2 linked regions of the Caenorhabditis elegans genome follow. The protein of the gene in region 1 purifies or fractionates together with the protein of each later gene. This does not show direct contact. Each region holds a gene or a part of one and is shown in the gene's direction. Other genes may lie near its edges. The genes, in order: ppm-1.H and ugt-61.

Region 1 (7,035 bases):
TACTTGTACTTGTGATGGAATACCTGATCGACTCGTTGTGCCACGCGAAAAGCCTGATAGGCCGGAGAAGCGAAATATTTTTGAAAATTGGGACACGAAGCTGAACTGTCGAGTTTTTCCTAAAGATTCTTCCTAGATCCTGTAAATATCCAAAAGTGTCCTTCAAATTTCTAGTCTGGTTTGTACCAGTGTTTATTCTGCCCCCTATAAACGGTGTCTCCTACAATTGTGATTGGTGCTAAATTTTATTTTGTGAATAGACATAAATACATATTGTTTCTATTTTTCACGGGAATTTGTCATTTTTTCATAACCTGCAATAAATTATTAAATATTATCTAGTCCCCACGTATTCCAAGTGTACATTTTAAAGTTGATAAAAAGAAGGCAAATATAAATGGAAATTTTTTAAATTTTGTTATGCAGCGTTTTGTTTTTGGCGGAAAGTTGTGGAAGTTTAATGAAACGTTCGGGTTAGTTGGAACATTTTCAGGCTATAAAACTGCAATCTTTGTATTCAGTTTCAGTTGTTACGATGATTATCCACATGTGGCACCATTTCTCGCAGTAGAACATTTTGCTTCGTTTCCTGTCCATCCACCAACGTTCATTTTCTCGAATGCTGCCGTTTCAAATATATTATCTATGGAAGAAATTAAAAGTGTACTCATAAGATTAGATGAACTAATTTCGTATGTAGTTTTTGAGTTTATTGTGTTTTTAATTACTATGATTTCAGAAGTAACAACCTGCACAATCATCCCTGTCTAATTTCTCAAGCAGGTGCACAAGCAACAATGCGTCTTGCTTCGAAAGATCAACTGCGTTCAGATTGGAATACTTCTGTAGAAATACCTTTTTGTCTATACGTAACGCAGGTTCGTATAATATGCATCTCTTAAACTAATTTTTCAAAATTTAATTCCAGAATGGTGTATGTCCCCGGCAGTTCGACTACGAAGATTTGCATAAACAATCACAATGGGTAGCGTTATTCGAAGAAGTAATTCTGCCACTTGACAAGATGCAAGGAAGTAAACTGTCAAAAATTGCACCACATCAGCATAGTTCTGTCGTTAAAAATGCTATAATGGTAATATTCGAACTCTGGTGTACCTACATTTTGTTTTTTTTTTCAGAAGTCGAAAAGAGAGAAAAAGACGAGTTGCAAGAAGCACTCAAAATCAATTTCTGGCATAGATTCGTCTAGTAGTGGATGCAATTCGTTGTAACACTATATTTTTAATATTATATAACTAAATCTAACTTAACTTACATTTCCCTGTGATATATATATTTATGTTTTGCTCGATTAAACTAGTTTCTTTCATAACAATTTATTGAAAACAACAAAACGAACGAGCTTAGTCCTTCTGGTGCTTGATGACCTTGTTGACGATCTTCTGCTCCTCGACGAGGAAAGCACGGGTAATGCGCTCCTTAACGGCGTTTGGTGAGAGGCATCCTCCGTAGGCTCTGGTGACGGTACGCTCGTTTCTCTTGAGAAGGCGGAGAGCGATTGGGCGAGCTGGGGTGATCTGAAAGCGACAATAATTAATTTGAAAATTCTTGTTGATGTTCAAAACTCAGATTTCAATTTACAATTAAGGTGCCTATATTGTGATAAACTACTTGAAATAAAAATAATTAGAAGTAAAAACGTACTCCGTGGAGCTTGACTCCGGTGTCTCTGCACTTTGGAATTTGTCCTCTCTTCTTGATGTATTGGACAACGAGACGTCCTCCTGGGGTCTTGACAAGACGCTTCTTGTTGGAGGTGGTGTTGTACGACAAACGGCGTCTGTAGGTAACGCGGAGGGACATTTTTTACCTGAAAAATATGCAAGTATTATTTCGAAACAAAAAAATACAGATACGAAAATTAGAGAAAGAATATTTGAAATTATCATTATATGCATGCTAAAACGCCGAATTTCAACTGGAATTAATTTAGCAGGGCTGAAATAATACTAAACACGTAAAATGTTCTTGTAATTCGTTTGAAACACCACTTAAAATAGGAAAACGATTAAAATCTAATTTTTCGACAATTATCACTTTTTGGGCATTTAATAGGCGTTTTTTCATCGATTATGGATTTTACATGAATACGAACATTATATTGAATTTTTAATACGTATTTTGTATGATAAAATCGGTCAAAACCTTAAAAAATCAACAAAAAAGAGTAGGAAAAGGAAAAATTTCTCAATTTAGTGAGACGGCTGTTCCTCGGCGCGAAGACTACGGTAACACTCGTTTACCATGTGTCGTTGCATTCATTTCGCTCGTAAATCGACACAAGAGGAGAGACGGAGTGTCTCTGGCTTAACCAGCAGAATAACGCCGAATCAATAAGAGCTAACGAAGGAAAGAGGGCTTAAAACAGAACATCATTTTCTTCGGAAATGTCTCATCGAGATTTCTATTTTAGTTTTAGTAGATTTTCAATATTTCCTGAATTTCAAAGCGTTTGGAAATTTTAAAAGTATAAATATTTTCATTTAAGAAAGTTAAAGATGGATATTGCTGCACGGGTGATATCCGTTGTCGGTCGAACATCAACTTCTGATCCGTCAACGGCTTCTTCTAGTAATCCACCAAAAGTGGGAAGAGTGATGGATGTCAGTGATGGTGTTTTTATTGGTGGATTCATTCCATGTAAGAATTCTCGTAGTTTTGCAATCTTTTCAATATGAAAGCCTCGAATTCCAGCACTAATCGAAAAACAAAGATATCCATACAGTCGCCCCGAATTTTTGTATTTTTCTGAAGAAGAAATCGCATTATCATCTGATCATTCTGTCCGTCCTGTTCTTTGTCCCAGATTTCCACACCGAATGCCCCTTTATGTTGGTTATGCAGAAGCAATAAATGCGGGTATTATTGAGAAAATCTTCAATTTTGTTGGAAAAAAAATAAAATTTAGGAAAAACTGTCCAAAATGAGGATCAAGCCTCTGCAAAAATGTTAGTTCTGACACAACACCAGGGAAACGAAATGAACGGGTTTTCGTCCGACGAAAAGAAATCTGAAACGAGAAAAAGAAATTCCAATGAAAATGATGATGATCCAATGTTAACGCCTGGAGGAGATGATACCGTGAGCTATCTGAATGTCGTAAATGTGAATTGTAAATAGTTTTTTTTAAATGTTTCCAACTTTAAAAATATTGTAATTTCTCACTATTCTGGAACACGTACTTAAAGGCGCACAGACTTATGCGGATTGATTTCACCACGAAAACAATCAAGCATTTTTTGCAGCTTTTAAAGTTTACAGTAACGAAAAGAAGTTTGCTATAACGAAATCCCGAACAAAAAAATGGCAGTGAAAATTCCAAAAAGTGATGTTTAACACAATTCCCGCGGCAACCTATTCAAATCAATCCGTACGATAAAGTAGAAATTGAATTCCAATTATTAGTTGGCCCCCTCTCTCTTGTTTCATCAGAATATATTTCTCGGTTCCAGGAAAAATCCAGCATGTTTGCTCCACGAGCCGACGGAGCTCTATTCAGTTTATTCGATGGTCATGCTGGCTCGGCAGTTGCTGTTGTCGCCAGTAAGTGCCTTCATGAGCACGTAAAGTCTCGGTTATGTGAAGTACTCGACACTATTCTTCACATGGATCGACATGAGAATTTAAACTTTGGGAAGCACCGATCCGAATCATCGTACAGTATGAGTGAGGTAAACCCCCACAGTGGTTTTCATTTTCTCGTAATCTTTTTTAGATGAGTCGGGAAGACGAAAACCGAATTCGAAGTGAGCATTTGGTGAAAGGAGCTCTAGAGACTGCATTTTTGGATATGGATGAGCAAATTGCACAGGATAAACAAGTATGGAGACTTCCCGGTGGATGTGCAGTTATATCCGTTCTTGTATTTTTAGGAAAACTTTATATAGGTATGTGTTCTTTATTCTAGACGAAAAGTAATTCCAAAGTTTTAGGTGGAGATTTCAAAAATTTTTTTGAACTTTCTGAAGGTTGTCGTAATTTCTTGAAATATTGGAAACTTTATCTAGATATCTAGATATCACAATTTTTCCAAATTCAATTAACGTAGAAAAAATTAATAACACAAGAAAACTATGTTGAAAAACAACAATTTATGAATGTACGAATTCCAAATCTCAGAGTTGTTCAGCAAACGCCGGCGACTGTCGAGCCATTCTCGTAACATCTGATGGTTCTCGGGCACTATCAAAGGATCTAACTCCAGCTTCGGAACGGAAACGTCTACAGGAACTGGCCTACCGTAACCCGGAACTAATAGGAAACTCGTTTTCTAGACTTGAATATTCCAAACGATTAACAATTCATGATTTGAAATCTCGTGTGCTTTACAGGTATTTTCTTGAAAATACCGTGAAGCCAATTGGAATCATTTGGCATTTCAGAGACTGGTTTATGGATGGATGGGCAGTGAAAACAGTGAAAGAATGTGATCTTAGACCATCATTGATCAGTGAAACTTCTCGGAAAAAACGACTTTTGAATACAATTGGAGTTTCACGTGGATTCGGAGATCATCACTTGTTAACTGTTGATGAGAGACTGAGTATCAAACCATTTCTATCAGCAGTTCCCGAAATTTCCGTCACTAATCTGCGAGATATGAATACCCTAACCGATAAAGACGTGGTAATCGTGGCATCAGATGGTCTTTGGGATGTTCTGAGCAATGAGGATGCAGGATTGATTGTCAGAAGTACATTAGGATCAACTGATTCTGCTGATCCTTCTAGATACACCCAGGCGGCGCAGGATCTTGTGGCAGCTGCTCGAGGGCAACAAGCATCTGGAAATCTGAAGAGATGGGTTATGAATACCGGTGGACATGCGAGCTATGATGATATCACAGTGAGTTTTAGGCTTTGATTTGAAGCTAGAATTTCTGTAAACAATTTCCATGTGAAATTCAGAAGGCCCTTTTCAAAATTATGCAAAGAATATTGTGACGATGTATTAAGTTAGTGCACGAACAAATTTGAAATTTTTTTGAAATAAAATTGCTATAAACTGAACCTACCACGCGCCACTTGTACTCGTGTAGGCATAAGGTAGGCATAGGCACCTAAATTTATCTATTCAACTAATTTCAAATAACTTTATGATTAATTTTCAGGTATTTGTGATCCCATTAAAATACTGTGCTGCTCCACCAACTAACATGGAAGATGAGGAAGACGATGAGATGCTGAGTCTTGAGTAATTAGAGCCCTCTCACAAACTTATAATAATAATTTATTTCTCTGGATGTGACACATTTTCTGCTGTCTTTCTTTATTTTTCCCCTTTCTACGTCATTCTTTCACTTATTCTTGGAAATTTTTAATAATCATACTTATTTTCAGTAACTTATTAAAAATTCGCAGTTTCCTCTCGAACAAATGAACTCAGCATTTACTTCTCGATTCATAAGTATAGTCTGCGATTTCTTGAACCGGAAAAATCTTAGTGTGCCCAGCGGCATATCTCTTCTAACAAACTACATATGAAGCTAAGTATTTTAGAAATTTTGGGTAACATTTTTTCGGAAAATTTTCGAATTCAGTTCTGGTTTGCAAAAAATGCCTGCTTTCTTAAGTTCAAGGCCTACGCCTGCCTCGTACCTATCTGCGTGGTAGGCAGGCACAAGGTCCGCACGCCTACGCGTCTGTATACTATGTGATACCAAAATTAGATTTATTGCACATATAATGAATCATATATCGAACTTTTAATTATTGTTTACGAAACCTTTTGCAAATCCCAAAAGGCTTCATTTTTGTTTTCAACTCCCGGCAATGAGAGATCTTTCATCAAAAAATGTGTTCTGACTATTTTGTAGTTCTTGGAATAATATGTGTGTTACTCATAGCAATATTCATTAGAAAAATCGAAAGATAATTTGAAAAAAAATATGAATGTTTGACGTTGGCTTTTACGAGCTTCTCCTTTTGTTCCACTTTGTTGGTTTTTAGTTATCATTAGACTGAAACTTTCTGAAATTAACTTTTTTCGGTTCATTTTAGAAAGAAAATTACCAAATACGAATCCGCCCCTACAGCTTCTTTTGGTATTTGCATAAAATTTTTTCAATATTTTTATTGTTTTTCTCGAATTGTTAACATGTGTTTTTAGTCATTCCAATCTTCCACAAAATTTATGAAAAATGTTTTTTTTCCAATTTTTTTTGCCAAGTTTTTATACAAGTATTTTTAATTTTTCTAACATCAGACTAATAATATGTATTCGCACATAACTACCGAAGGAAATTAGTGTCTAGAACATATATGAATCTTTTCTGTAAGCAACACACGAAACATATAATTTTAGATTCAACAGAGTGTGCTTGATATCAGTCTCAATTTGGTTTCCCATGTGGAAAAAAAACTTTATTTTTTTCGAAAAACCGCAGTAAAATAAAAATTTCAATTCAACTCCCATACTTTTGAGCTTTTGTTGATTTTGATGTATTCTATGGAAATGAGAGAAATTTGTTTTTCAGTATTTCATTTTTTTCTGTTCAATTTTGTTGATTGCAGAGGCTAATAAGATAGAAAACTCAGAAATGTTCTGAGTCAGGAGCCATAATTGTAGTAATAAATACGACTATTTTTTGTCTAAAAAATATTAAACTATATTTTGAAACTATCTCTAGTAAATTAAAGGTTTTAACAGTTTAAGATTAAAAAAAATATGGAAGCCCTAAAAAAAGAAACATGAATTAGCTGATCATTAATCAAATTTCAAACATTGAAAAGAAAAAAACATGTTTTTTGAAATTCATACATATCACATTTTCGTGTAGCTTTACTATCAGAGCCAATTTTTCTTCTCAACTTTCTGTCGCAAATTATCAACTTCCTACGGAAATTGTCTCACTCTGATCAATAATAGGCCATAAAACTATTCCAATGACCGAATTCCGTGAGCGTACTTGGTATTCATATTTTTAGAATATTTTTTAATCCGGCTATAATCGAGTTAAGATATCAACTCAAATCAAATATCACTTCCGGAAACTCCCACAAATTTAAAATGACG
Region 2 (6,048 bases), on another chromosome or scaffold:
TTTTTTCCGACAAACTCGGCAAATCGGCAATTTGCCGGTTTGTCGATTTGCCGGAAATTTTCAATTCCGGCAATTTGCCTATATGCCGATTTGCCGGAAAAATTTGTATTATCAAACCCGTTTTTTGTTGAAAATCTGAAATTTTTTGACCAAAAAAAATATTTCAAAAACTTGCAGTTTTTTCGATGATTTTTTTTAATCTTTCACATAATGTTGGCAGTATTTTAGTTGGTAATTTTATAAATTTCAAACACAATTTCAACGTATTTTTTGAATTTTCTGTGCCCAAATCTGCAAGGGCAACTGAAAAAAATCCTGATTTTTTTCGACAAGATTAAAAAATTTCAGAATTTCAGTGATACCAAATTTTCATTTTTAGACAATTTTCAACAGCTCCGCAGTAGACATTATTGTTACACATTCGATTCGACGATTTATTGGAAATGAAACTACAATTCGGGTAGCTCATTTTTCCCCATTTTTTCTTCTTAATTCTTTCCCTCTTCAGGCCAACGGATCTCTTCTTCACTATCGTCACAATAGCTACACAGATCCTGCAAAGGAAGTCCAGAAGCCTTACAGTCTATTCACTTCTTACCCAAACCTGCACATCAAACGAATCCAAAAGACACTTCGAAAAGTGTTCGGCTCATCGATACCACCTTACAACTCAACATACCTACACGTTTTGAATCAGTGTATCACGAAAATAGTTGGAGAGGGAAAGTGTAGGAGTACGGTAGAGTACTGTAAGCAGTGGATGGAACCATTGACGGATTGGGTGTACGATACGACTGAAGGCATTTTTGTAGTTTAACCTAAATTTTAGTTTGATAATAAATAGTTGTTATAAATACTAATCTATTTTGGCGGCCGACATCTCACAAGCTTGTGCCAGCGAGATGTCGGTGGCTTTTCTTTTAACTACTGTGTTTACAGGCAGGTCTAAAAGCACACGTTGTTATTCCGAGTGGGTCTTGCCACGATCTCAGTCCTACTGATCAAGTGCCAAATTTTACTCATATGTTCATTTGATGAAAAAAAAAGAAATTTATGAAGCTTCAAATTCTAAAGAGCCTATATTTTAGTTTCTTAAAATAATTTTGTAGTGGAAAATAAAAAGGTGCATAAACGCGCCAATTTGCCACAATTTCTCAACCAACTTTAGACAACTTTCAGCAGTTTTCAGTGTGAATTTTGTACAGCCCCTCAATCAAGGGCTATCCTCAACTTTTGCTAAACTTTGGCATCTCTGGATTGGCCCAGAAGCTCTAATATACTTACCACGTGATGCCAGAGTGTCTCATTTTGGCTTGATCTACGTAGATCTACAAAAAAATGCGGGAGAAGAGACGCAGAGTTTTTAATTGATTTTGCATGGTTAAGAACTGCTAACGTCACATATTTTTTGAGTAAAACATTCCCGCATTTTTTGTAGATCAAACGGTGATGGGACAACCTGGTACCACGTGACTGAATGAAGCGTTTAGCAGTTGGTCAGATCCCAAAATTTGATCACAATAAAATTGTCCTTTTAAGAACAAAAATCTGTACCGAATAAGTACAGTTTGTCACACACCACAACTTTGTCTCGCTTACTACGTCTCTTCGTTCCCAAGAACTTCTGGTCAATTTAATTTCATGATAGAAGTTTAATGATGTTGGTTGAGTTTCACCTGAATTACAAAATAAATAAATAAAAATCTAATATACTAGTTGGACTACAAAGGAAAATTTACCAAAATTACCAAGCTTTACTTTTTTAGATCCAAAATGGCCCAAATCTACCGAATTTTGTAAAAAAACGTTCTGAAAATTTTTCAGGAAAAAATCGTATTTTCAGTATAAAAACCCAAGTCTCAGATTTTGGCACTCTCTTTAAACCTAACCTTAAACCTAACTAAACCTAACTTTCCAATATGATAATCTAAAATCCTTGAAAGAACTTTGGTACAACTTGCATCATTAAAGTTATCTGGCCAACGATCGAAAGTCCAGTCATATTTACTTCTACACATAAACCACAAATCACTATAGACCACAGTTTTCTATTTCTCTTGCTGCGTCTCTATTGTCTAACATTAAAAAAGGCTGTCTCTTCTCTCCAGACGCAGATTGCCCAACATTTTTGTGTTTACCCAGGTACTGCAGGTGTATAAAAGAACATCTATTTGATCTCAGTTTCCGTTATTTCCAACAATGAGAGTATTGTCGGTTTTTCTGGTATTAGTGGGAGTAGTTTCAGCATACAAATTTGTTTTATTTGTCCCAAATGTAGCTAACAGTCAGGTTAGTTTCACTTGATTTTTTAGTTATTGTTTTAATTCGGAAATGTAAATTTTCAAAGTACCAAAATTCAGTAGAAACCGATTTTATCAAGCGAAAAAATGTATTTAGATTCAATTCAACGCTAGAGTAGCCGAGGTTCTTGCAATTGGAGGTCATGACGTAACTATGCTAATGGTGAACCATATGGCTGGATTTGAGTCAAACGTAAAAGTACCGAAAGGTGTTAAAAGTGAGTTGATATTTGGCATACGACAAGTCGGAGAATAATTAATAACCTTTTATATGGTGCTAAAATAATCAACTAATATAATAAAACTTGTCAAAAATTGTTGGAAAGTGTTTATGTTGTTTCAAAAAGCAGTGAAAATGCATATTTGACTTATTTTATTGTATTGGTACGAGCATGCAACAATGCTTTAAATTCCTCAAAAAGACCACATTTGTGGCAATAAAAAGGAATAAGTTGCTAGTAATACATGTTAAAGTACTGAAACTTTGTGTTAGTGCTTTGTATCAAAACTTTCTTCCAGCCTATCAACTCGACGCTGCTGTTGAAGGAATCACAAAGCAATCCATCGAAAAAGAACAATCAGCCATGTTATACAAGAACATGGGGCTTAAGGATATGCCTCAAATGATGGCAATGTTCAGTCGAATGGGAAAGCTACTTCAAGATGGATGCCGAATCATTCTTCGCAACAAGGAATTCTTGAAATGGCTGGAAGATGAGAAATTTGATGTCGCATACACTCATATTTACTCTACGTGCCCACTTGGATTAATTCATCACGCCAAAATTCCGTCTTGGGTCTGGCTTAACAGTGGTCCACTAATGGATTATGTATCACAGGCAGTTGGAGTTCCGATTCTTCCCAGCTATGTACCGCCCGTATTGATGGCATCTCATGATGAAATGGGTTTTGTTCAAAGAACAAAAAGTTTTATCGGTCATGTGCTAATGAGTGTTATGCACAGAAGGTATGAATTGAGCCAGGATTTTGAAAAAAAAATCTAAAAATTTCAGAATCTCATCCGACGAGGAGACAGCAATCTTCCGAAAGGAATTGAATGATCCGAGTTTTCCTCATACCATGGATATTGGAGCCAAATGCCCACTGGTAAGTGATATGGTCAGCTTCTCGAACAAACATAAAAAGTGGCAAACCATAAGCATTTTTTGCTATAATTGCACCTATTTTGTATTGAAGTTAAATAAGAAATTTGGTAGTTGCGTTAGAACAAAAGTTCAGATTTTTGAAAAACTTGGCAATATGCCAAAAGTTTAGCTGAAAACTTCAAAAAATCGAAATTTTTTAGGAGTGTTAACGTAAATATATTTAGGCTAAAACATCACGGACGACAGTTTAACTTCAAAGACTTTCATCTTTGTAAATATCAACCAAGTTGCCGGTTGCCGAAAAATTGCCGAAGTTTCGGCAACCAAATGTTGCCGGTTGCCGATTTTTTTTTGGGTCCGGCAACTTCGGCAATTGCCGGTTGCCGAAAATCTTGGTTGCCGCACAGTCCTGATACCTAAATAACTACTTTTTCCAGGTAATTGTAAACAGCAATGAACTCTACGATCTACCACGTCCCACTTTGGCCAAAGTGATAAATATTGGAGGGCTTGGTGTCGGATTTGACAGTGCTAAACCATTGACTGGAGTAAGTCCACTTTTAAAATCAACATGTCTCAGCATGTTCAATTTTCCAGGAGTTCAAGAAAATCTCTGAAACTGGAAATGGGCTTATTGTCTTCTCATTTGGCTCAGTGGCAGCTGCCCATGAAATGCCCTTGGCTTGGAAAAACTCGCTTTTGGAAGCTTTTGCATCTCTACCAGACTACCAGTTTGTCATGAGATATGAAGGAGATGATCTGAAGGATAGATTGCCGGAAAATGTGCATTTGTCGAAGTGGCTTCCACAGAAGGATCTACTGTTGCACGAGAAGACAAAAGCGTTTATTACTCATGGAGGGTACAATTCTTTGCAGGTATGTGCATTTTGTTAACCCTGTGATCTGTAACTGTAATATTAAAGTTTCTGCTAATTGACTGTTTTTTTGTTTAACGTTTTTTCTAATTTCATTCAGTTGTGAAATTTCACTTAAATTTTTATCAAGAAATTGCAAGACATGCCTGTAAACTATCAGCAAAAATTTTAAAATTCATTCTTCCAGGAAGCAATATCCGCCGGAGTCCCCCTTATCACTATTGCTCTCATGGGCGATCAGCCCAAAAACTCCCAAATCGCCAAGAAACATGGATTTGCTGTGAACATTGAAAAAGGAACAATTTCCAAGGAAACGGTCGTTGAAGCTCTTAGAGAAATTTTGGAGAATGATAGGTTGGTTTTCCGAAATTTATTTTCAATTTTATTTTCAACAACAATGTCAATATCTAACTTTCAGCTACAAACAAAAAGTAACCCGGCTCTCCGCGATGGTTCGAGCTCAACCAATGAAGCCGGCTGAACGTCTTCTGAAATGGTCAGAGTTTCTTGCGGAATTCAAGACACTTGACAACCTGGTGCCAGCTGGACAGAAGCTTAACTTTTATCAATATCATTCTCTTGATGTAATCGGCTTCTTGTTCCTAGTAGTTTTAGTTGTATTCTACATTGGCTTCCTTATTCTGAAAGCAGTTTTCAGAAAATGTTGCCGTAGAAGAGAGACTAAAACTAAGAACGATTGATTGAAGGTCTGATTTTGAAGAAAAAAAAGCCATTTCGATATTCGGGTTTATTGAATAAATATATCAACTTCAACTTATTGATATCAATAATTTAAAAAAAAATTATTAAAAAACATTTCAAAATTCATACACATTTAAAAATCAACTTTCTATTTAAAACTAACGTTTTCAACTCATACAATATTCAAAACCCTTATTATTATTTCCTTTGTTCTGGGTTTTAGCTCCTTTTTTCAACACTCTTCTCTGAGCTCCTCAAATTTCAAATGATTTCCATTTTGCGAAAACTATTTAAATTTCTTATATTGATTACGTCTTTGTTTTTATTTACAAGATTAATTTGCAATTTTTATCAAGTTGAAAACAAAAATGTGAATACTTTTCCAATAGTGTTTTACAAAGATGCATACGTGGATCTCAGGTGAAATTTTGAAACTGATTAAAAAATTTATAGTGATCGGTTTTTTTTTTAAATTTAAAGAACTTTTTTTTTTGAAAATCTTAAAACATTATGATCTTCATGGACATACTATAAACTTGAATTCAATTTTTTCTCAGAATGTCTCCTCCAAAACTTCGAGTATTTTCCCTAAATCACTGCCTTATCAATGGAAGCTTTTTAATAATCAGATTCGAAGATTACAAACAAGAAAATATAAAAATGCTCGGCGAGCCTATCGAAGCCGATTGCCCATGGTCTTGGGCTCCAAATTGTTATTATAGTTCTCATGTTTTTGAGGTCTCACTTTACAATGTTCCGTTGGAAGAGCTGCTGAAAATTCGAAAAGTAAGCCCAGCTAGTCTAATTTTGAAAAAAAATGGTTTTTTTTATTCTAGGTAAATATTTTGATAAATGGGAAAGTCATAGATCTGAATATAAAACAAGTAATGCCTAAATTAAAGGATGGTCTAACAATTTGTGTCCAACCTGTCTATTGGTACAACCAATTTCAGAATATAATACTTTTCATTGAGGTTTGTCACTCACTATCAGTAGGTGTTCATAATTCATATTTTCAATTTAAGAGTTGGAGAAATCAAGGAGCTTCACATTTTATTGTGTACT

What was found.
Region 2: the proteins of ppm-1.H (region 1) and ugt-61 fractionate together in Caenorhabditis elegans (co-fractionation; one large-scale study listed by BioGRID). This does not show direct contact.

What each region holds. Positions count from the first base shown.
Region 1 is NC_003282.8:12,263,791-12,270,825, reverse strand, and holds ppm-1.H (PPM-type phosphatase domain-containing protein), read left to right. Parts: upstream 1-2,503; 5' UTR 2,504-2,519; coding exon 2,520-2,661; intron 2,662-2,715; coding exon 2,716-2,880; intron 2,881-2,929; coding exon 2,930-3,102; intron 3,103-3,473; coding exon 3,474-3,692; intron 3,693-3,736; coding exon 3,737-3,908; intron 3,909-4,150; coding exon 4,151-4,352; intron 4,353-4,403; coding exon 4,404-4,866; intron 4,867-5,131; coding exon 5,132-5,218; 3' UTR 5,219-6,167; downstream 6,168-7,035. Other genes in the region: vps-8 (Vacuolar protein sorting-associated protein 8 central domain-containing protein), read left to right, coding at 1-136; C42C1.3 (Ovule protein), read left to right, coding at 421-473, 522-692, 740-878, 929-1,093, 1,140-1,232; rpl-34 (Large ribosomal subunit protein eL34), read right to left, coding at 1,365-1,538, 1,666-1,824.
Region 2 is NC_003283.11:4,740,321-4,746,368, forward strand, and holds ugt-61 (UDP-glucuronosyltransferase), read left to right. Parts: upstream 1-2,134; 5' UTR 2,135-2,199; coding exon 2,200-2,289; intron 2,290-2,397; coding exon 2,398-2,518; intron 2,519-2,819; coding exon 2,820-3,267; intron 3,268-3,313; coding exon 3,314-3,407; intron 3,408-3,843; coding exon 3,844-3,954; intron 3,955-4,003; coding exon 4,004-4,282; intron 4,283-4,468; coding exon 4,469-4,635; intron 4,636-4,699; coding exon 4,700-4,982; 3' UTR 4,983-5,053; downstream 5,054-6,048. Other genes in the region: gtnt-28 (Glycosyltransferase family 92 protein), read left to right, coding at 380-460, 509-817; gtnt-11 (Glycosyltransferase family 92 protein), read left to right, coding at 5,249-5,403, 5,541-5,769, 5,820-5,957, 6,009-6,048.